4 linked regions of the Arabidopsis thaliana genome follow. The protein of the gene in region 2 interacts with the protein of the main gene of each other region in a pairwise test. Each region holds a gene or a part of one and is shown on either strand. Other genes may lie near its edges. The genes, in order: AT1G68360, AT5G23280, CUC2 and GRF4.

What was found.
Region 1: the proteins of AT5G23280 (region 2) and AT1G68360 interact in a two-hybrid assay, tested with the Arabidopsis thaliana proteins (one large-scale study listed by BioGRID).
Region 3: the proteins of AT5G23280 (region 2) and CUC2 interact in a two-hybrid assay, tested with the Arabidopsis thaliana proteins (one large-scale study listed by BioGRID).
Region 4: the proteins of AT5G23280 (region 2) and GRF4 interact in a two-hybrid assay, tested with the Arabidopsis thaliana proteins (one large-scale study listed by BioGRID).

The regions. Positions count from the first base shown.
Region 1 is NC_003070.9:25,620,557-25,625,282, forward strand, and holds AT1G68360 (C2H2 and C2HC zinc fingers superfamily protein), read right to left. Parts: upstream 2,038-4,726; 5' UTR 1,857-2,037; coding exon 1,122-1,856; 3' UTR 977-1,121; downstream 1-976. UniProt on the Arabidopsis thaliana protein: Probable transcription factor required for the initiation of inflorescence trichomes in response to gibberellin and cytokinin. Acts upstream of GIS, GIS2, ZFP8, and the trichome initiation factors GL1 and GL3.
Region 2 is NC_003076.8:7,840,144-7,845,742, reverse strand, and holds AT5G23280 (TCP family transcription factor), read right to left. Parts: upstream 3,137-5,599; 5' UTR 2,727-3,136; coding exon 1,974-2,726; 3' UTR 1,094-1,973; downstream 1-1,093. Other genes in the region: STP11 (sugar transporter 11), read right to left, coding at 4,869-5,321, 5,434-5,599.
Region 3 is NC_003076.8:21,900,348-21,906,450, reverse strand, and holds CUC2 (NAC (No Apical Meristem) domain transcriptional regulator superfamily protein), read left to right. Parts: upstream 1-2,596; 5' UTR 2,597-2,655; coding exon 2,656-2,845; intron 2,846-2,925; coding exon 2,926-3,209; intron 3,210-3,831; coding exon 3,832-4,485; 3' UTR 4,486-4,747; downstream 4,748-6,103.
Region 4 is NC_003074.8:19,614,379-19,620,832, forward strand, and holds GRF4 (growth-regulating factor 4), read right to left. Parts: upstream 4,130-6,454; 5' UTR 3,891-4,129; coding exon 3,659-3,890; intron 3,562-3,658; coding exon 3,367-3,561; intron 3,070-3,366; coding exon 2,772-3,069; intron 2,217-2,771; coding exon 1,799-2,216; 3' UTR 1,599-1,798; downstream 1-1,598. Other genes in the region: AT3G52905 (Polynucleotidyl transferase, ribonuclease H-like superfamily protein), read right to left, coding at 92-187, 280-348, 763-820, 945-1,093. UniProt on the Arabidopsis thaliana protein: Transcription activator that plays a role in the regulation of cell expansion in leaf and cotyledons tissues.

The sequences.
Region 1 (4,726 bases), on a different chromosome or scaffold from region 2:
TATTTTCGACCCGGGTTTGTATATGCATGTAGATTGCACATACCAAAACTCTATCTCTATGTATGTTGACATCTCTCTTTATAGCCGTTGCTAGTGGTTACATGTATGCTCCTAAAGGGAATAATTAACTGAAGATTTGAGAGTATTTGACTTTGAAAACCTGGAGTTGAATCATATTGACCAAAAGATTATAGTGGTCCTACAATCCCTAAATATGAGAAAATTTTAATTATAACCAAATTGTGTTAGAGAAGTAATTTTAATTCTAACCAAATTGGGTAATCTACTAAATTTAATTCTAACAAAACTGTGTAATCGACTAACAAGACCATAGACCAAAACTCACTAAAGCTGTACATAATTACTACGATGCTAATTGTAGATTAACTTTTTCCATTGTTGTAAAACAGAGGCCTACCAACAATTTTCGAATCTAAAGTAATAATTTTCTATACTTTGGTTCTAAAAACCAATATGTCAAAACTGTGAGAATTCCAAAAGTAATTTGTGCATAGACTTCAGAACAGCTTTTGTCCAAAAAAAAAAGGACTTCAGAACAGATTTGAAGGCGTATCAATTTCAAACGCAATCCGAAAAAGGTTGCAGCGTGTCCCTTTTGACTAATTTTAAGCACAATTTTGAAGCAAATTTGTGAGTAAAGGTGTAGAGTTTTCATACTCATCTTTGCATTCTATTGGCCTGACAATAAAAAGGCTTTGAAAAACGATTGATCTAATGGATCTGAATATTGGAATTATTATTTTGTATGTGTTTAAACATACATTCTATAAAATCACTTTCAGTGCACCTGACAACTTATCTCCTAACGTTTATTTTTATATTTTTAGTCTTTGGTCCTATTGTTTATATTTTTTTCTTGGAGTCTCAACAAATATTACCTTCTGGAATGTTTTTTCATGAATTGGTTAAGCATTTTGAGACTCTACTTTTTGTGGTAGTAAAGCATAATTGGAGTCTAAACTAGTAAAATATTTATTAGGCAAACAATCACTGGAATTTAAAGTCATTAATTAAAAATACTGATAGAGAAAAAAAAAATCACTAAAAATAAATAAATTAATTAAAATGTTGATAAATATACAAGAGCTTTAAAAAACACGTCAATGACCAGCAGGTGCAAGACTGAGATGCAAATCCAACCCTAAACCATCATCAAAAGTAGTTCCTACTTCTCTTGAAAACCCATTAACCGATGGTCTCGGCCCATGGGCCTGAACATGTCTCATCTGAGCCCCAACTACTCCAAACCCTGAATCACGAGCCCCATACTCGTACGAGAACCCACCAGCACCCGCACCACCCGAACCATCTTGGATGACGCAGCCATGAGACACGTGAAGTTGAGATGGAGAAACACGTGGAAGATACATCCAAGGACCTCCCATAGGCTGAGGCACGGCGGATGATGATAAAAGATGAGGCGGAGGAGCAAAAGCAGAGACTATAGGATTCCTTAAAAACTGAGACGCTGATCCAGCGTTTGAGAAATTTGCGGCTGCGTTTCGTGTAGCTTGAAGCTGAGCACGTTTAAGCTGTTGACGCTCTTTCTTGTGAGCGTTTTGGTGACCACCTAAGGCTTGTGAGTTACCAAACTCTCTACAACAATACTGACACTCATACTTACGTTCTCCTCCTCCTCCTCCTCCGCCTCGGCTTCGTACACCACCGCCACTTCTTCCGGAAGATCCTGCCGGAAACTCGCCACGTTCCGGTGATACAGAAGATAGGTTAGTTTTGACTGATTGATCGGAGAAATCTTCTTCTCCATCAACACTAAATCCAAATAGCTTTAGACGAGAAGTTGTTGTTTTTGAACTAAAATCCAGCTCCTCCATTAAATATGTATGTCTTTAGAGAGAGAGAGAGAATTAGAAAGAAAGAAAGAGATATGTTGAATAAGGCTTATAATAAGAGGAGGTTGATGAGTGAGGGCATATATTTATATAAACTGAGATGTGACTTTGTACAGTAACATGGGAGACACTGTGCAAGTGTGTGTTGTGTGAAAGATATGAGAGATTGTTGTGTGATTAACTTTGGTTTTTGTTTTCTACGTATTTGTTTTATTTTTCGGACATCCCAAGAAGAAAGAAAAAGAACAGTGAAAGTGGGAGTTTGAGGAACACACGAACCGAGACGACATGGATAATGGGACCCTATTGGATTTCATTTGTCTCCTTTTTTTTCATGTGAAAGGAAGTTTCAGTTTGGCTCTACTTTTATGTGTTTATTCTTACTAGTTCTCTTCGGGAAAATTCATATGTTTCCACCTACTTTTTAATGTGATTCTGAAGCAAAAAATAATAATTACGACATACTTGTTTTAAAAAAATTACAAATCTTTTTTTAAAAATAAATTTCTAAATGATTAATAAAAAAAAGTAAAAAACCATTGATTTGATGCGTTCTATGCGTTTCATGTAAATTATGTTATTTACGAACTTGATTTTGCTATTTATTTTGAAATTAAAAATAAGTGAAAGAAGTTTTTAAATGTAACTATGAGAGATTTAATTTACCACAAAAAATTTGTATAGACTAATTTGTTTTGGTATATTTTTTTATTGTTTTGCAAACTTTTTGAACATATTTTTCTACGATGCAAATATATTCTCAGCAACATACTAAGTTCGGAGATTTGTTAATGGCAAATGTTTTAGTAGATTTAATTTCATGGAGGTACACCTAATGTTTAAGACACTAGCGCTCCTTAATCTAATTTAAGATTCACAAATTCTTAAAAAAACTCTTTATATCCCACAAAAAAAAACTTGATTTTTCTACGATGCAATCGCCTAAATCTCAAAACAACTCATCCATAATAAACATATTGAATTATATATCAAACTAGTCCTAGATATAAAGTACTCATTTTCCTCCTAGAACTCTGACTTCTTTCCAATTTTGTTTATCAATTCCAACTAAAACGTCGGAAACATAAGTTTATGTTCTTGTTCACATAAGCTAATATGACCATGATAGTGTGTTAGTTTGTTGCGCTCTCATAATGAAACGAAAGGAACAAACATTCACAAGATATTGTAACGGGTCTTTCTTGATTCTTTAACATCTGACGTTTTCTCAGAATAAAACAAATATATATAATCTGAATTTCTTTTATAAATAAATTTGATCCGGACAGTTGGTAATCTAATCTAGAGCAGTCAATAATTTTTAGGATATTTTGTTTGTTAGCTAAGAATGTATTGTCGTCTGTAGACTAAGTCATTTTATATTAACCTACAAATACAATGAGAGAGTTTCTAAAGCTACTCAAGAAAGTCCCGTGATACCTAGACCTAAGTTGGAATAACATCCAATTTGTATAATTATTGTAACTTCCAAATTTCAATACCATATGTAAGTCGAGAGACCATAAACATTTTAACTTATACATTATTCCTCCTTTTGTCTTGATATTCCATCTCTCTAGTTACCTATTGTCTTGATATTCCATCTCTTTAGTTACCTATTGTTCCTCTTTTTTTAATTCTTGATTCCATATCTCGACTTGGTTTGTAACCCAGATGATGATTTGAAAGTGACTTACTTACAGAATTTGTAATCCAAAGTTTATAGTTGATGTTTTAGAGGGGAGAGTCCCCACGAAATGTACCGATTGTTATACCGAAAACTCGTTAAATCTTAAGTATTTTTAATGTTTTACTCTCATGCAATTGACCATAAAATTTAAGTATTTATCAAGTTAATCACTTACAAAGTCGTTTAATCAACAATTTTTTTTTATTTATTTTTTGTAGTTGGCTAAATTAAATTAATATATATATGTAGAAAACTAATTAAAAACTTTTTCTAAAACCATCCAAAAATTTAGAACAACAGTTATGTTTTTTAAATTAGTATTTTCATATTTTACTTAAAATTTCACCCAAAATATGTATTAGTACAAAGTAAAAAGATGCCGACAGACGGAAAGTGATTAGTAAAGTCAAGATAGAGTAGATGCAAACAAATGTTATCACAAACATAAAATTGCTTCGTTAATTGAAAGAGAAAGAAAAAAAGACAAATCATAATGTGGGATGTGATCTGAAGTGACCCAGAAGCCAAAAAGTTTGAAATGTGTGACAAAGAAACATGAGAATCTAATTGAAGATGTGAAAATAAAAAAGGAACAAAAGTCCCACATCTCACTTCTGTGTGTCCCACGTGTCTCCGTCGCATTATCGTGCGTATCTATTTTCAGATACGATCTCAAAATTTTAATGAAAGTCAAATAACTTAAATTTATGAACTATAATTGCAATTTACTTTCTTACATCTAGTAAGGATGTCTTTAATTATGACTATATTAGAAATATATGTTTGCATGTACCACACTTTGGGGCCTAAGGTAAAAATTGTCAACGCAATTCTTTTATACTTATCATAATTTAGTTTGCTTTCAAAGTGAGTTGTGAGTTTAGTTATAGTGTATTTACATATTAAAAAAAAAATTGCAACATATATATATATATATATATGTATATATTAATATTATAATAAGTAATTTTTTAACAGAAGATTAACCCCTAAAATCTATAGATTACCGAGTTTTAATTATTATCGATCATTTTAATAAATTAATAAAAACTCATGTTAGAGATCTTTTAGGTTTATAGATAAAAAAATGAGTTTTATTTTTGAACATGTTTTACCACGTAATTTTGTTCTCTCAAAAAAATGTTTTATATGGGTTTAAACT
Region 2 (5,599 bases):
TAACTAAACAAATAACACATAAAATTAATATTCTTACATGTTTTGGGTCTTATATAGAATTAATATAGATCCCAAATTGATCACTGTAGAATCTGCAACTAGGAAAAAATGAACATGCTTTAACGTTTAAAAGAAACAACTAAAATTTATTTTATTTTTGCTATAAAATTGTTTTTATAGTCAGTTTTGAAAATCAAATTTTGATACTCTATGATAATGTTTAGTCATCAATTTTTTCTGAACCATAAAGTATTTGACAGTACATTTAATTTAACACGGCACAGAGCTAGTAGAGTGAGGTGAATGAGAGGCTATTTATTTATTTACATGTGTCGGTCCAAAATGCGAAATATGTATATGAAAAATAAAGACTCGTATATGAATTATTTGCCAGCCTATAGAAATTATTTTTCGGTAGAAAATAATTGGGACCATATCAATTATTGGTGTTGGGGTCATTTAGATGATTCGACAATAAAAGGTACGGATGTTTTATTGATACGAGTTGATTACAAAGATCCCCCACCTATAATTATTTGCATTACATTATATAGCTAAGTGTTAATTACTAAGACCTAATTAAGAAAGAAAAAACACCAACTTTTTGTTAAGATCTTTCCATTAATGGATTCTTATTTTAATGAGAAAATTTGTTTGATTCTTTTGATTGGTTAGTGTGACCTAAATAGTCTAAAGAAGCCTATCTAATCACTTTGACATTTATTCATCAGGTATTATCGTGATAAATAAATTATTGGTTAAATACATTACTCAGCAGATATATAGCTGTGAAAACCACAAACGAAATCATTGAATCTATGCTATTTGTACCTTAAATATACTTTGCATAAGAAATTATACTATATCAGGGGTTAAAATAAAATTTACTTTTTTGATAGTCCAAATTATTACAACAGTGAAAATGGTTTTTGCCAAAATTAAAACAACCATTTGAACTCATGTTCGAGTGTATCACCCACATTTTTTTAGATAGCTAATCTCAAACAAGAGAAGAGACAATTCTAACACCTTTAATCTTTCAAATTGTAACAGTTTCTAGAACAAAAATATAGACAATTAATTTAAAGATATCATGTCGCCATATAGTTTTAACAGTACTTAAATTTAATATTTCTCTGACTAACGTGACAAACCAAACTTCCAAAAGCACAGTACAAAGATTCATATGAAACAAAAAGGCAACAAAATTGAAGAATTCAGACACAACTGGTTTGTCTCTTTTTCTTACTAAATCCTCTGTTCAGTTCTTGCATTAAATCAAGACGCGAAACGCCAAAAATAAATAGCATCTCAAAATCCACAATTCATACATATATCCACTAAAAAAATAAGAGATTATTATGATTCTGTTCAAAAATCCATCATCCGGTTCGATTTCAACGAAACAATCACTATCACATAAAGCTTTTTGTGTATCAATAAATGCAGAGAAGGAAGGAACAATATGAATTCGAAACATTTATTAGAAATAAACGTGGTTAACAGCTTACGCAAATGCTTCACCACAATTGTTGTAACACATTACACAATTAGCAACAACAACAACAAACCATATTAAAACATTTAAATATATATCTGAAATTTTAATCGACGGCTCTGTTTCACCGGAAAAAAAAAACAGACACAAAAAAAAAAAGAGGAAAAGAAACCACCGTGGTTTCTGAAATTTTCCCTTTTTTCCTAAAAGTAATCTTGGATCCGATAAGAAATCGATCTCCCTCCAAAAAAACAACAGATTCTTAAACCCTAATTTAACCCTAATCAAAAACAACCGTCTTTAACTTACTTAAAGCTAACGAAAACTCTCAAATCACTTGCAGAGATTCTGAAACCAAATCAATCTCTAACAACACTAAAACACACACATAGAGAAACAATGACAACAATAGAGAAGAGAAGATAATAAATATATATACCAAATTTTGCCCTCAAACCTAAAAGGGCTTAAACCATTAACGTGGATCTTCCTCTCTTCGATCCGACCCGGGAGATCCACCGGATAAAGAAGCAAGCAAATTAAGATGACCCGGAAGATAATTCCCAACTCTAGCAGCAGAAGCTTCACCCATTGCAGCTTGTTGTTGCTGTTGCTGATGAACAAACAATGGTTGCTGATGATGATGTTGTTGTTGTAAAAACATCTCTTGTGGAGCTCCAGCAAAACTCCAAACTTGTCCAAAATCCGGCCTCGCCGGAACAGCCCAAAACCCAGCTGGTGTTGTCGTAAAGGTCTCATCTTTACCAACAGAACTATGATTATGACTATTATTACTATCCTCATCAGCTCTAACACGTTTCCCAAGTATAAACGGTGACGTACCACCAAGTAAAGAAGTGGGTTTATGATCTAAAGAAGTAGAATTGGTGGCTCCACGGATAGAGACAGAAGCAGTTGAGAAACTCGCTGGAGTTGTACCAGTTCCTGTTGCAGCTATAATAGAAGGCTCTGCTTGACGAAGTAACCATTCAATTGTTTGGCCATCTGACTTATGACCAAGCTCTCTCGTTAGCTGAAAAACACGAGCAGCACATATAATCGGCATACGGATTCTTCTCCCTCTTCCATCGACTTTGCTATGTCGATCTTTCGCCGGTGGTTTCTTCACAACGACTGATGGTTGTTGTTCGATTAAAGCTCCGTTTGATGAGATCATAAGACCATCGTTGTTATTGTTGTTGTTGTTGTTGTTGTTGTTAATAGACATGGTTTTCGATCTGGGTTTAGTGTTTTCTTTTTCTCACTTGGCTTGTGATTACTCTCTCTGTGAGAGAAGAGAAGAGAAGAAGCTAATGATTGAGAAGGAGGGAGCTGGTGGAGACAGGAAGGAGAAGCACATGGGTGTGGTGGGGTCCTTTTCACACAGCTCACCATCTCTGGTTTTTTTTCTCTTTTTTTTTTTGCTTTTTTGAGAGGACATTAGTTTTGTCCCGACGCGGTGGAGCTCACGCGCGTTATTACTCCGGTGAAGAAGAAGGTCGCGTGGGGACCAAACTCCGGCAGGAGAATTTAACACTAGGTAGGTGGGTCACTCCTCCGGCTGCTACGTGCATTTAAAGAGACATTTATCCTTTGCCACGTCATTATATACATTATTACTAACTTACTATAAGCTTGAATTTGGAAATTAACACGAAGATACTAATCTTATTTAAAATACATGAAACTAAATGTATTGAAGTTGGTCTCTCTGTCTAAAAAAGTTTTTTTTTGTTTTTAAATTTTTGGGACCAACCTAATGTGGTTATTAGATTTGGGCTAATGTGAACATTTGTTTTGTGATTACGTGAAAATTAATCTTTTTTAGAAAGCTGTTTCCATAAAACAATCGAAAAGATTGAAAAGGAGACAAATCAGTGAGGTAATTGATTGGTAAGTAGACTTTGACATCAAAACTTAATTGAGTTATAAAACAATCAAAATTTAATACTAGTGTTTGTTCTTTTTATTTATTTGTTTATAGTATATTGGTAATAATATTTGCCACCAGTTACTCTGCCGTAAATGCCAGTAGCCCAGTATCACGTGTTTTACGTGAAATGGCAAAAATCGAAACCCTTAAAAATTATTCAGAATTCTTTTGTCGACATCACAAAAGAAAGTTACCTGTAATTAGTTGAGTTTTGCCAACTAAAATACCCAAAGACATTTAAATTAATAGTACTATAAATTAAAAATATTATGGTTTTAATGTTATTAATTTATAGAGGTTTTACTGTATATAATATAAATATATATATAAAATAAATGTGTGTATAAAATAAAAAGAACGAACATTAATTTTAATAACTCCCATTTTGAGACTGACATTGAAAATAAGTGGATTAGTCCACTTGTCAGATACGCAAGATTTTCTTTATGTCGTTCGTCTCATCGCAACGAGATTTTCTTCACATATCGTGACAACAATTTATTTTATGACTTATGCTGAGTTATGCACCACCAAACGCTAATATTTGTTTTAATTATTTTCGTACTCGTACCCCCTAATTAAATGGATTTTCTTATCGTTAATTTTTAACATTCTTGTGAGCTAATGCAAAAAAATAAATGCAATCATGAGCGATATGGCATCATGTCGGCAGTTTTATAAAAAGATTGTGTACCTTGAACTTTTGATCCTTTTTTTTTTTAATCTAAAAGATTTCGGAATCCATTTTTTGTGTAACTATAAACTTGAAACCTAATCTGATACAAAATGTTGTGGAGTGAATAATAATACTAATTTATAAATCATGTGAATAGTATTCACTTGTAACAAAACAAAACAAAAAAGTAATTAATATTGGATAATGGATGATAACAATTGTTTGTTCGAGATTGACTTGATGGTTGATTTAGTTATGTTACAAACAAAAATAAATAACCAATTTAATTTCACTTCTAAGTTTTGGAAACAACTGATAAGATATGATATGGTAGATAAATTCAATAATTTAAAAATCGCTATCCAAATGAGAATGGGTCAAATTTGGGTTATTTTAAGTACAAATAGAGAGAGAGAGTTTTTTTTAATAATCTTGTGAAGTGTTAGAGAATTTTTAGTAGCCGGAAAATTATAATAATTTTAAATATTTTAACAATTCAAACGGATAATTTGGATACTCTTAATAATTACTCGACATGTATCTTTATCGTAAAAAATGATCATTTTAGTCTAAACAAAAAATTTATATTATTTTTAGTTCAAGAAGTTTCGAGTAATTTTAAGTACGGTCATAAATCCTCAAATTATGTACACTTGTTTATTATATCCTCATTTTTATTTTCTCACATTGGTCAGTATAAGCATTTTCTCAATAATAAGTTTTTAATCCTAACATATCCTTAAATCCCAAATAATCATCAACTAAAAATAAGCATCATCATCAACATCATCACCATCATCATTATTACTATATTTCCCCCAATATCTATGCTCTTTCCACACTTTCCCCATCTCCTCAATCGGAACACCTTTTGTCTCCGGCAACAAGAAGTAAATGAAAATGGTCATGATCAAGACCATACCCGCGAAGAAATAGAACAAACCAAACTTCATATGGCAAAGCATCGTCAAGAAGAATTGTCCAATGAAGAATGTAAAGAACATGTTCACCGAAACGTTTAACGATTGTCCTGCTGATCTAATTTCCAATGGACATATCTCACTCGGCACTAACCATCCCAACGGTCCCCATGACCACGCGAAACCCGCCACATAGAGACATATCAGTGCCAAGATTATATCCGCATCAACCCCTGACAAATTTCCTTCCCCGTTGAATCCAAATTTCCATCCGATCATCGACCCGACCGCGATCTGAAGCCAAAGCAAAACAAATCATTGTTACCTACCTCGGTTTTAGAAAGCAGAGCAAGATACTCTGTTTTGAAAAACAGAGTATTTTCATTGTTTTAGGGTTTGTACGCACCTGGGTCACGATCATCTGAAAACCACCTTGAAGAAACAAAGCTCTTCGTCCGAATTTGTCAACGGAGTAGATGGAGACAATGGTGGAAAGGACATTGACAAGACCGGTGATAACTGCGGATATGAGAGAGGCGTCATTTCCAAAACCGATGGTCTTAAACAGAACA
Region 3 (6,103 bases), about 14 Mb from region 2:
TTAACCTCCTGCATTTATAATGCTATCATTATTTATTTTATTGGGTTCTCTTACGTCAAATAGTTTATTATTGGCATTTGTTCATTTGCTTTTTGCAGTTATTAAAAAAAGATGATATGCGGTATTACCAAACATTTTAGAAAATAAATAAAAGTTTTGTAATAAATGATTGATAAAACAACAACGAATTTTATGGTAGGACATATGTTTTTCTGTAGAGAAAAACAAATCCATTTTGGTGTTCGAAAGCAGCCATAAATTTCAGATCAATAGAAAAATATAAACAATTTGGAAAAGAAATTGAAAAATAAAATAAAGAGGATGATATGTATATAGAATATCAAACACTCTACTATTGTGTTAATTAATCAAAAGGGGATAAATGTGGTATTTAAAGTGTCAAAAATATAGCATAAATGGAATGAAGGTGATAGAAAGTAGGGAGTGTGCATTTTAACCTTGAAAAAGTACGGATATTAGATATTTAAAGTCATAAGAATATTTTTCTCGTTATGAAAAAAATGCTAAGCAAACAAACAAATTAACCGTGAAAAATATATGTTTAAATTAAGATAAAGTAAAGCAAATTTCTAAAATTTGGCAAGGTCAATATCAACATTGTAATCTGTTTGGCCATTGTTTTCAGTTTAAGACAATTAACACTTTGGCACACTAGAATGTATTCAAAACTTCATAAATTCAAGTAATTACAATTATATAATGTTATTGCTTCGGTTCATAGCTTGGTGATAATCTTTTACTTCAACTATCTGTAATTAAGACAGGAAAGGATCTTATTAATTAGATTTAGTTACTGTCATATGCAGATATGTCTAAAAAGACGTATAGATAGACCTACAATTTCTAGATAGTAATAAATACTACTATTAAACAGTAGTAGCAGGTGTAATAGTCTTAGCATGTCTCTGATAATGATTTTTAATGTATAATTATTACTTTGCATACTTTATAACATCTTCTTTTTTTTAACTAATAGTTACACACATGATAAGTCCGTAGATATGAATACTCGAAGGGGAGAGTTATTTTGATTTAAGTTTATACAATTTTTTCATACGGTTAAAATAGTCAATAAGTCTGTAGTTAATTTATTAGTAGAAATTGATCAACTCACTATCTTTTTAGTTTGATCTTAAGGTCTTTACATTTTTGGGTGTGTCTTTTATTCTTTAGTTTATTCTTTAGTACATTTTTGGGTGGGAAATTTTAAAAAACAAGTCATGTCAAATAGGGCTAAAATTGAAGTTCCACTAAAATAAATAATTTGTATGAGATAATAATCAAAATATTGGAAGTAACAGAAATAAATTAACAATTGTGAAATTTACGTTTAGTCATGTCATTTTGGTGGACCTGTAACAATCAACATAATTGATAATTAGTTATTTGATGAGCCATAATTAATTTATATAAAAAAGGAGAAAAAACAGACTTGAGATAGTAATTAAGAAAACTACAAAACCAGGCAGCATAAATATCTTCTCTGATTTGCAACCTGTAACTTCTTGATTAAATTATTTTTCAATCTTACATCATAAATCTCGTTGCTTGAAAATAATGAAATTTAATTTTCTTTTGCTGAGTCTTACAAATGAATATGAAGCAATGAAAAGTAACTAAAAATCCATCACAGGAGTAAAAAATTGGAAAATGGAAAAGATGAAACAAAAACGAAAAGAAAATCAAGGAAAAAAAAAAGAGAGGTGAAAGGTGTAGAAGGTGGTGGCGTGTAGTAACGAAGTCTCTGTCAAAGTTTTTGATAAATTAATCATGTACTGTGCTGACACTCCAAGATTTGAAACAGCCTTATCGATATAATATCCATTTTTCTATTAAAAATAAAAATTGAAACTCTTCACTTTCCAAATAACTAGTGTATATGTCTAATAATGTATCCCTCACTATACTACTATTGTTTCGATTAGTCATTGTACGTATAATAAATTATTATGTATCCCAATTTCCAAACACAATAATAAAAAGAAATTTCAAGTTCGTAGATAAAAAAAAAGATACAATCTGAATCCTCTCTTTTATTTTCATCACTGACAGAGAATACCACTGCACTTTTTCTCATGCACGCACGCATACTCAGATAGAAACAAGAGCCCATTCCTCGTTTCTTTAATAATTTAATTCAAAGAAATACGGACACTTCATGATTAATTTTAATTTTGTAATTTTAAAACAATCTCGAGTTATGTAAAAAATATATCGATAAACTCAAAAATGTGATGTAATAATCTGCTTTGGCTTTGCTCTCTTTACTACAAGACAAGGCAGAGAAAACCACAGATTCCTATGAAAGAGTAGACGTACCTGTCTTTTTATTATTACTAAATTTATAATTATCTTCTCTACGACTTTCTGGTTTTTAATCTTTTAATAATTATTTTACTTTCACTACCCCAAAAAAAAAGCTTCCCTCTATTTCGCCGTTTTAGATTTACCAAATCCCAATGTATAAAAAAAATAAACTAATAAAACCAAAAAATAATATCCATCCACATTATTACCACGCCCCTTACTCAAGAACCATCCATTATATTAACCTATTTATCTTCTTCTTCAAAACATTTGAGTCTCCTTAGGGTTTTTTCTCTCTCAAACAAAAGCTTTAGATCTTTCTTCTTAATGGACATTCCGTATTACCACTACGACCATGGCGGAGACAGCCAATATCTTCCACCGGGTTTCAGGTTTCATCCCACGGACGAAGAGCTCATCACTCATTACCTTCTCCGCAAAGTCCTCGACGGTTGCTTCTCAAGCCGTGCCATCGCAGAAGTTGATCTCAACAAGTGTGAGCCTTGGCAACTTCCCGGTAAGAAAATACAAAACTAACTTACTTGTAGTTCTTTTGTAATTAAGGTTTCTGAAATCTTTACTCTCAATGTTACTTAGGGAGAGCTAAGATGGGAGAGAAAGAATGGTACTTCTTTAGCCTCCGTGACCGGAAGTATCCGACGGGACTGAGAACTAACAGAGCAACTGAGGCTGGTTACTGGAAAGCTACCGGAAAAGACAGAGAGATCTTTAGTTCAAAGACTTGTGCACTTGTTGGGATGAAGAAGACTCTTGTCTTTTACAAAGGAAGAGCTCCGAAAGGAGAGAAGAGTAATTGGGTTATGCATGAATATCGTCTTGAAGGCAAATTCTCTTACCATTTCATCTCAAGAAGCTCCAAGGTACTTCGATTTAACCTTTCATTAGTTATTTTGTTGATAAAGTAAAGCCTTAATTTTCTTTGATTAATAAATTTACAATCTATTATTTGGAAAAAAAATTCGAGAGTGTGACATAGTCGGTGACGTTGATTTTTTTCTCTTTTGCTTTATTGCATTTAATTTTGATGGCTGAAAAGGCATGGTTCTTTACTGTGGTTATCTGAGAGCATTATGGAACATGAAATAGAAAAGATCTGCTGTTTTTATGTATTGGGATTTCAATCATAATGGTGTTTTCCTAAAGTAAGAAAACATTCAATAGCTCTGATAAAATAAAATATTAATACATCCTACTTTTGGAAAGCTTAATGCAAAAAACCAGAACCAATGCAAATCTTCAGGATTTTTTTCTGACCTAGATATATTAAAAAGAAATTTAATTAAATTAATTTTACTTAATTAGTGTTCCATATCCATTGTAGACTTGTAGTGTCCAATGTACATTCCCTCTGTGCACGCTTTTACTCTATGGTTTTTCTTAATCTTCACTCTCTTTTATTTCCAAGATCTAACATTGACTTTCTCATCAAACATATATTATATAAAATATTTGACTTTTCAAAACTCTAATTTATTCCTTCAGGATGAATGGGTGATCTCTAGGGTTTTCCAGAAAACCACTTTAGCTAGCACCGGAGCCGTCTCCGAAGGAGGAGGAGGAGGAGGAGCAACTGTGAGCGTAAGCAGCGGTACTGGTCCATCTAAAAAGACGAAAGTACCCTCAACAATCTCAAGAAACTATCAAGAACAACCAAGCTCTCCTTCCTCCGTCTCACTCCCACCTCTCCTGGATCCGACCACTACCCTCGGCTACACCGACAGCAGTTGCTCCTACGACAGCCGTAGCACCAACACAACCGTCACAGCCAGCGCAATAACCGAGCACGTGTCCTGTTTCTCCACTGTCCCTACTACTACTACGGCCTTGGGCTTAGACGTTAACTCATTCAGCCGTCTTCCACCGCCGCTAGGGTTTGACTTTGACCCTTTTCCTCGTTTCGTTTCTAGAAACGTCTCGACTCAATCTAACTTCAGATCGTTCCAAGAAAACTTCAATCAATTTCCTTACTTTGGATCGTCTTCTGCATCGACTATGACCTCCGCCGTTAATCTGCCTTCTTTCCAAGGCGGCGGAGGCGTCTCCGGGATGAATTACTGGCTACCGGCGACTGCCGAAGAGAATGAGTCAAAGGTCGGTGTGCTTCATGCTGGACTTGACTGTATTTGGAACTACTGATCACAAAAGAGGTGACTTATAATTGTTCCCGTTAGGGTTTTATTTATGTATTTCTAGGATGATTATGGTATTATGAAATGTGTGTACCGAGGAGCTTAATATTGCACTTAGCTTGATGTTCCGCTTAATTCTCTAGTTTTAAGTTTATCCGGTTGTGTTAATTAGGAGGTAATATGCAAGGAAAATGTTTTCTAGACTATGAACGTGCATATGTATAAGCTATGCTCGTTTTTGTAATGTTTGACATTATGTTAATTTCATGGCTTTTTCATGTTTTATATTTCTCATGATATTTGACATGTGTCCTTGGTTATCAATACAATCATACAGTATATTACCGACAAAATGAATTTCTTCGGTCGCTTCTAGATACCTTAGTTTTCTTCTTGTTAATACAATTTGATATGGCGGTTATATATATGTTTCCGGAATTCAACCGTTCCGAATCTTCGGTTAGATGATTTCCGTAATTACATAACATGGCTAATTATTTAATTTCTTCATCAATTGAAGATGCTCAAATGTAAAACATGCATGTAGTTTTTGTTTATTAATTCTAGCTAATTAAGGTTGACATGTGTAACTGCCAAAATATTTCAAGAAAGTTTCATGCTTTTAAAGTAAGTACTCATAATTCAGTGGATTAATCAGTCTATGAACACCATTTTCAGTTAGGTGTATCTTCTTGCTACAATCGTACACATATGAGACTAAACACAACAATTTGCGTTTGGCTTAATTGATTAAGATAACATGCATGTACATGGTAGTTACTGAAAATAATTTACATACTAATTTTGATTAACTTAATGCATTGTAAACCCACCAAAGAAAAGAAGTAGTTTTGAAATTAAGGATTTTGAAACGGGGATGATGAATATGATGCGCATGCTGACGAACGGACCACTCCCAAATTCAGATCTTGTACAACAGTCCACCTCACTTTCAGAAGGATGGCTTTCACATTTCTATTTTTAGAAAGAGACATAATTAATAATACCTCTGTTTATTACCATTATATATGTGTTTTCATTTCACGTGTGTATACTAGTAGGAGTATGATATATGTATGTGTGTAACACAACCATCATCATCATCATCATCATTACCATCATCAATTATTGCTCTTGTTGCATCACCAACCTATACTACCTAGTCATAAGACAAATTCACAGACTCACATATACGTCTTGCTAAATGGCAAAATTTCATGATGTTTTAGCTAAAGGAATATATGTACACATTTGTATGCTTATTATTTTGGGTTTCATTGGTTACATTTGCAATCACAAAACAAACTAAGGCAAATGGTATTGGTTCAAAAAACATTGACCAACATATATATATATATATATATAAGAAAAAACCCAGCTATTTACACAAAAGAACAGCTAAGTGATGATAAGAACTGACTAATTTTATCACACTATGTATATATAAAAAAGCAGAAAATTCAGCTGGCCTGACTTAAAAAATAAAAATCTTAAACCAAAAGTTACTATATTTTATTATTATTATCAGCTTCAATAACTACAACATTTAAATTTTACTTGCTTTTCTAAAAGATGTCTGATTTTTTGCCCCAAAAACAAATGTCTGATTTTGTACGTCATTACGC
Region 4 (6,454 bases), on a different chromosome or scaffold from region 2:
TTGACAGTATTACATGAGATTCAAGGGATATTAAACTTAACACCTATCTTTACTGTGACTTACAAGATCTTTAAATCTGAAAAATATATACCTTTGATGATAATCGCTCGTCCCAATATGTGTATTTCACATCCTTGAGTTTTTCGGTCTTACGAAGTTCCTCAATGAAAAGATTCACAGTGACAACCTGTTCCAAGTTTAAAAATCCTTTTCGGTTATATGAGCTAATGTAGAGGAAAAGTACTTCACAATTCAGTCGAAACAAAAAAAAAAACTTACATCCTCTACATTGTTCAGTTTGCCAAATGGATAACCAACGACTAATCCCGACACAGAAAATGCTTTGACCTGCATAAGACAACAAAAGGCAAATGATTGATGTAATCAAACAGAGTTCATAAGTCTACTTGTTGATAGATCTCTACTACGTCAAGGACTTAACAGTAAACACTAACTGAATAAACCTTGATCCTTTAATCACCAGTAAGGCAGTAATCACAAAAAGCCGAGGGTGAAAGTAGACACTAATCTACTACACTAACAAACTTTCTTCTTCATTACCAAAACAAACGATAGTTTCTTCATTCCTTATCTTAGTAAACACTAATCTACACTAGCAACCTTTTTTCTTTGTTTTAAAAAACACTAAGAAATGATAGTTTCTCCATTTCTTAACAAGAACTAAAATCTGTGTATTTGTTTAAGGTCTCCTTTAAATCTAGAGCTAAAAAGTAAAGGAACGATCAAACTTATAGCACCTACCAGGTTCTGGAAATCTGTAGCCATCAGGTCAATGTTTGATTTCTTTCTGAGCAAAACACTGCAAGAGAAGTAACAGGTTTTCAATAGCGATGATGGTGACAAAATTGATCAGAGAGGATTTGCATTTTTGAAAATTACTGTTAAACAAATGTTGTAGCATGTAGACACTGAATCAAAGGTACCTCAATGGAGAAGCAACCATATTTGAAGGATCTGAGATAGCTAATCCAACATACTTATCACCAACATCTAAACCCAGAAACCGACCAGGGACTGACACTTTGGTCTTCAGCGCATTACCCAATAAGCTCAATGGCTTCACATACTTCATTTCCTGATCAAAAGTAAGTGAATCAAACTTCCAAAACACTTGTTCAAATCAAGACTAAAAATTCACATATCAATTGCATAAATTTGAGAATTATTGTACAAAAAAAACTTTAATCAGACCATCAAACAAACATTTCGAAAAAGGGTTTTAGAAATTAATCAGAAAGTTTAAATCTTGACGTACTTTAAAGGCGGAAACTTTCTGGCTCCGGAGCACGGAATCTGGCGAGAGGAAACGACAAATGGTTCTGCTAAATGTCTTCGCGATTGAAGCAAGCAAGCACAAACCCCAAGATTGTGAATTAGAGATGGACCGGAAAAGGTTTATTCCGGTTAAGTTCGAGACTTCACCGTCTAATCAATCTATACGATGCCGGTGATTATCAGGGTTTTGGTTTTACATTATACCGGGAACCGGTTAATTCGAGGTGGTTTAACTGGTTTCCCAAAATTGATTCGGTTTAGCTTAAGTGAAAAGCTCAAGTAACCACCTCTCCTGTACTTACTTGCAGGCAGAGGATCATATTAGTTTCATTGCTTATACAAAATTGTCAAGCTTTAAACATAAATATAATAGCAGAGTAAGGAACAAAACAATTCCAAAAGCAGAACTCACAATTCCAAAAGAAGACAAATTCAAAGATTATTTTCTGCAGAAAATAAAGATTCAAAGAGCACAAACCAAAAAGATTACAAACACTTTTCTTTAATGAAAAACTTGAGTAGAGATTCCCATCTGATGAAGAACACTTGACGTCGAAGAAGCTGACCTCAAAGCCTCAGCTAATGGTCCTCCCATATTGTTGTGGTGATTCCCTCCATTGCTCCACCAATTCATTTGCTCCCTCTCATTGTTGTTATTTCTCATGTTCTCTTCTTCTTCTTCATTGCCTGTGGAAAGTTTTAGAGAAACATCTGAGGACGTGTTGTTACCGGGCATGGAGATTGAAAGATGACAAGTGGATGAGCTCATTGGACTGGAGGTAGAGTCTGATGATCGTGGCCAATCGTCAAAGAAATGCCTCAAGATGTGACCATCGTCTGATCTTCCATTGCTGAATCCACTGTTAGCTTCATATGGCCTCTTGTTGTTGTTGCTTTCTTGTTTCATCTCTGAAGAACAACTGTGACAGAGAGGAATAAACATAAACATAAACATTGTCAACAAAAAGATCCAACATTTGAACAATAATAAGTAGACTGATCAATTCAACAAAATGGTTAGAGAAATAATTTAATCAGTCAAATGTGTGTGTTAATAAGAGGAAGTGGTTGCAGAATCTGAGAGCTTTATTTTGTTTGGCTTCTATGCAGGTTTGGTCAGCTTTCACTGAGGTCCTACCATGTCATTATTTCAAATACAACATAAGTATACATATCTCTTTAACTTTCTCTCTCTTTTCTATTTCTATGATTGAAAAGTCTCACCCAACTAGTAAATAAAATTAGATTCTATCAAATCCAACTGTTATCATTATCTCTCAACAAAAGAAAGAATAATGTTTTTATCACAAAGTATGTATGATAAGTCTCTCTTGTCACCCTATTGCCAACATTACCCCTTTCTTCACAGCATTACTTCACAGTGAAATCACTATTTCCCTAACAACAATATTTGTAATTAACCAAATCTACTAATGACTTTAATTAAACAGAGTGTTTGTGTTTTTTTATTGTACCTTTGTTGATGACTAAGGTGGAGAGGTTGAGATGAACCAGAGGAGAAGAAGTGGTTGTTGTTTGGTCCATGACCAAGCTCCTCACCTAAGACAAAAGAAGATGCGGTTGTTGTGGCTGTCGTTGTGATGGTGGTTGTGGCGGTTTCCACAGGCTTTCTTGAACGGTTTCTTCCACGGTGAATGTGGCGGTCACAATACTTGTGGCCCGCTACAACATCCCTTGAACATCTCCATTTCTTGCCGTCAGTTCTCTTACACCTCCCTGGCTCAGGATCCATTGCTCCTCTTCCCCAATACCCTGTTTTTTATTAAGTGTGTGTTGTTCATTAGTAACAACAAACATAAATCTCACTCAAGACATTGGTTACGAAATGTACTTGTCTGATTCTATCTATGTTGCTAATAGATCTTCTAGAAATAGGCTTATCATACACATAGGGTTTTAACTCCTTGCAAGGTTGCAGAGCAGCCTTATACTTATTTTAGATCTTGGAAATATAACTCCAACACCAAAACAAAGGGAATCTTTTTTACAAAGAAAGACTATTTCAAGGATAAGAGAAGCATAAACAATAGAGAGGAGAGAGAGACTGACAAGAAGGTTGGTGATGAGGAAAACTATGTTGAAGAGGATGGTGAAGGAAATGCATAGGAGATTGATGGAGGAGACTTTTCTTAATAGGTAAGAGAAGCTCTTGAGGAACAGAAGCACCAGCCAACATGTATCTATAGATCAGTGCTTGTAGCTCAAGTTCTTGCCACTGTGCCCAGCTGAAGAAGTTTCCCATCTCTACATATATATGTAACATAGAAACGTCAGATTAAATATCAGCAAAAACAACTTCAACATTAGAGTGAATAAGTCTTGTCCTTTTAAAACAACTTACTGAGGAACCTGGAAGAAGAAGAAGAATTAGAAGAGTCAGGAGAGAAGCAAGAGAAAGAAGAGGAAGAAGTGGGTTCAGGGACAAAGAGAGGAAGAGGAGCCGCAGCAGCAGAAGTAGCAGTTTGGGACTGAATCTGATCAAAGAAAAAGTTTGATATCTTAGTTGCAGCAGAGCCTTGTTCTTCTGACTCATTCTGCTGCTGACTTCTCCATTGTTTCAGTTGCAAGTCCATGGAACAAAGAGAGAGTGAGTGAGAGAGAGAGAAAGAGAGACAGACAGAGAAATGTGTTGGTTGCTTTTGGGATAGTTTTTTTACCCTCACTTCTTTTGTTTTTAGAGAGTCTGGCTTAATAAGCAAAGACAACCACAACAAAAGTCTTATTTGTTTGGCTTGTCATGTAAATACCCAAAATAAAAAACTTTTTCTTCTTCACTCTTTTGTTAGAGAGAGCTAGAGAAAAGTGTTTAGACTATGAGACAAGACAGTTGATAGGATAAACAAAATTAGTATATAATATTTGATTGATAGGTTTAATAAATTGTTACTTTATGTGATATAAAAATTATGTAAGTCAGAAAACAAAGAGAGAAAGCACTGCAAGATGCAGATGGAGAGATAGTAACCTGCAGTGTTTATGTCTCACTGCCTTGGAAATATCACTTCCTTTTTTTACCTCATTTTAATATTCCTTAAGTAGGTTAAAGAGATGCCTATTATGATATTGTTATTATGTTTTTTTATTAAGGATTCATTTAATGTGATGTAGAGTAACCTTCAATTTTTGTCTTACAGATGTCATTTGTCTCAGAGATTGTGTTACAAATGTATGAGATTCTAACTTCTAAGCATGATTAATCATTTGGGTTTTGACTAAATAGTCTCCATTTGCAGAGAGCTACAATACAATCTCAGCTCTATTTACTCTCTTTGGTTAGTAAGTTTTCCAAATACTTTACCATTTTAGTGGTTTAACCATATTTGTCTTTTAATTTGTAACCGTCATTACTTTTCTCATCTGTTACAATATTATTGTTACTCATAAAATATTATGTAACGTCTGTGTTTGTTTGATTTATTAAAAAAAAATTATAACTTCCTTATATAAATGTAGAAATGGACATTTATCTTTGTGTTATCTTAAAAAGACATGGCTAGCTAGTAGTATATGTACATATCTAAACACATCGAAAGGAGGGAATCATATTATTACCAGAAAAGGCCAAGTAAACTTGGAAACATTTGTTAAAATGAAGTTAGAAACATTTATTTGATATCTTCACTTGGCTGAATAATACAAAAGACATTTATGATTTTCAAAGTATCTTTATTTGGTGGTGCCAAAACAAAAAACGATAGCATTATTTTGTAGTTTTGAGGAAATAAAGTAATAAATATGAGAAGGACGATAACGATATTTCATGTAGGAGTGAGCCACAACCAAAGACTATGATGACTATTGAGAGAGTTTCTTGAGTTTTCTTTTCATTCATTCCCACCAGTTTCGGCGGCATTTATATTTGCACTAAGAAAAATATAAGAAAAACTCAATTCCTTAAGTACAGTTCAATGTTATGTACACTTCATTTGCTGTAAATCTTGTGAACCAAATAAAAAAGAAGAGGAATATCATAACATAACACCCAAAATAAACTTTGTTTTCAAAATATACCATAGGTTCTTTTTGACTTTGTAAAATTTTCCTTTTTGAAAAACAAAAATCTTTGTAACAAGTATAAAGCGGCAACTGAATTTAATAAACATTTTACGTTTTTTTTTTTAGAATAGAAAAAATATTTCGCAAATGGCCTAAACAAAATATTAGCCTCTAAAATAGAAATATTTTTTGTTGATACTTGATAGTATAATGGATCTTGTGCACTAATGATGGGTCTTAACTAATAAAGTAATAATGGATCCTGTGCACTAATATTTTGGGCCAGAACTTGTCATATACCAAAGATAATGATATCGAAGGAAAACAAACTGAAAGCAAAGTGTGAACGTAATGACATATTGTATGTCTTTTTTCAATCATGAACACGAACAAAGATTACATGCAGATGCAGTAATACTAATGGTAACAAAACAACCAAACAAATGTTGATTATCTAGACTAACTTTATATATATCTTGTTTAAACTTTAACCTACATGGTTATTAGGTTATACATGGTAAATGCATTAGTTTAAATTACCATACTACATACATTTTTATATGTTGCTCATGTTCCAATTGTTTCGTAAAACCAAATAAAATGACAGAAAATATATAGTATTATTCAGTGGACAAGGGTTGGGTCACGTGCTAAGATTAAGACCAGATGAGATCAGAAGAGGGCCCGGCCCAAACTCTCCACCTACTCACATAGATTTGAAAATCACGGGAGCTGATCCGAACCGAGCCGAGCTGGAGTAAAGATGGAGCCGGACAACGAAATCATAATCTGAGGAGGCTCTCTCTTTAGTTTCCGACGAGGGCACAGACTGTGGGTCTCACTATGTAATGTGAGATACCAAATATATTCTTTTCACTTTTTGACCAAAAGTTACCGTCTGTTTACGCACTATGCCATTTACGTTCACTTACGATGGGCCGTAAATAAAAAGCCTAGTCACGCTAGCACGCGAGGCCTCACGTGCCTTAATTATTTTCTTAATGGGCTTCGTATATTCCTTTAGGAATGATTCTTATGGGCTTCTTAAACTCTACGTTTAGCAGTACACCAACAAAAACCGAAATAAGCAAACCTCTTAGCAGACCTCTAATTTCTTAATGTGCTTATTATATTCAATTTG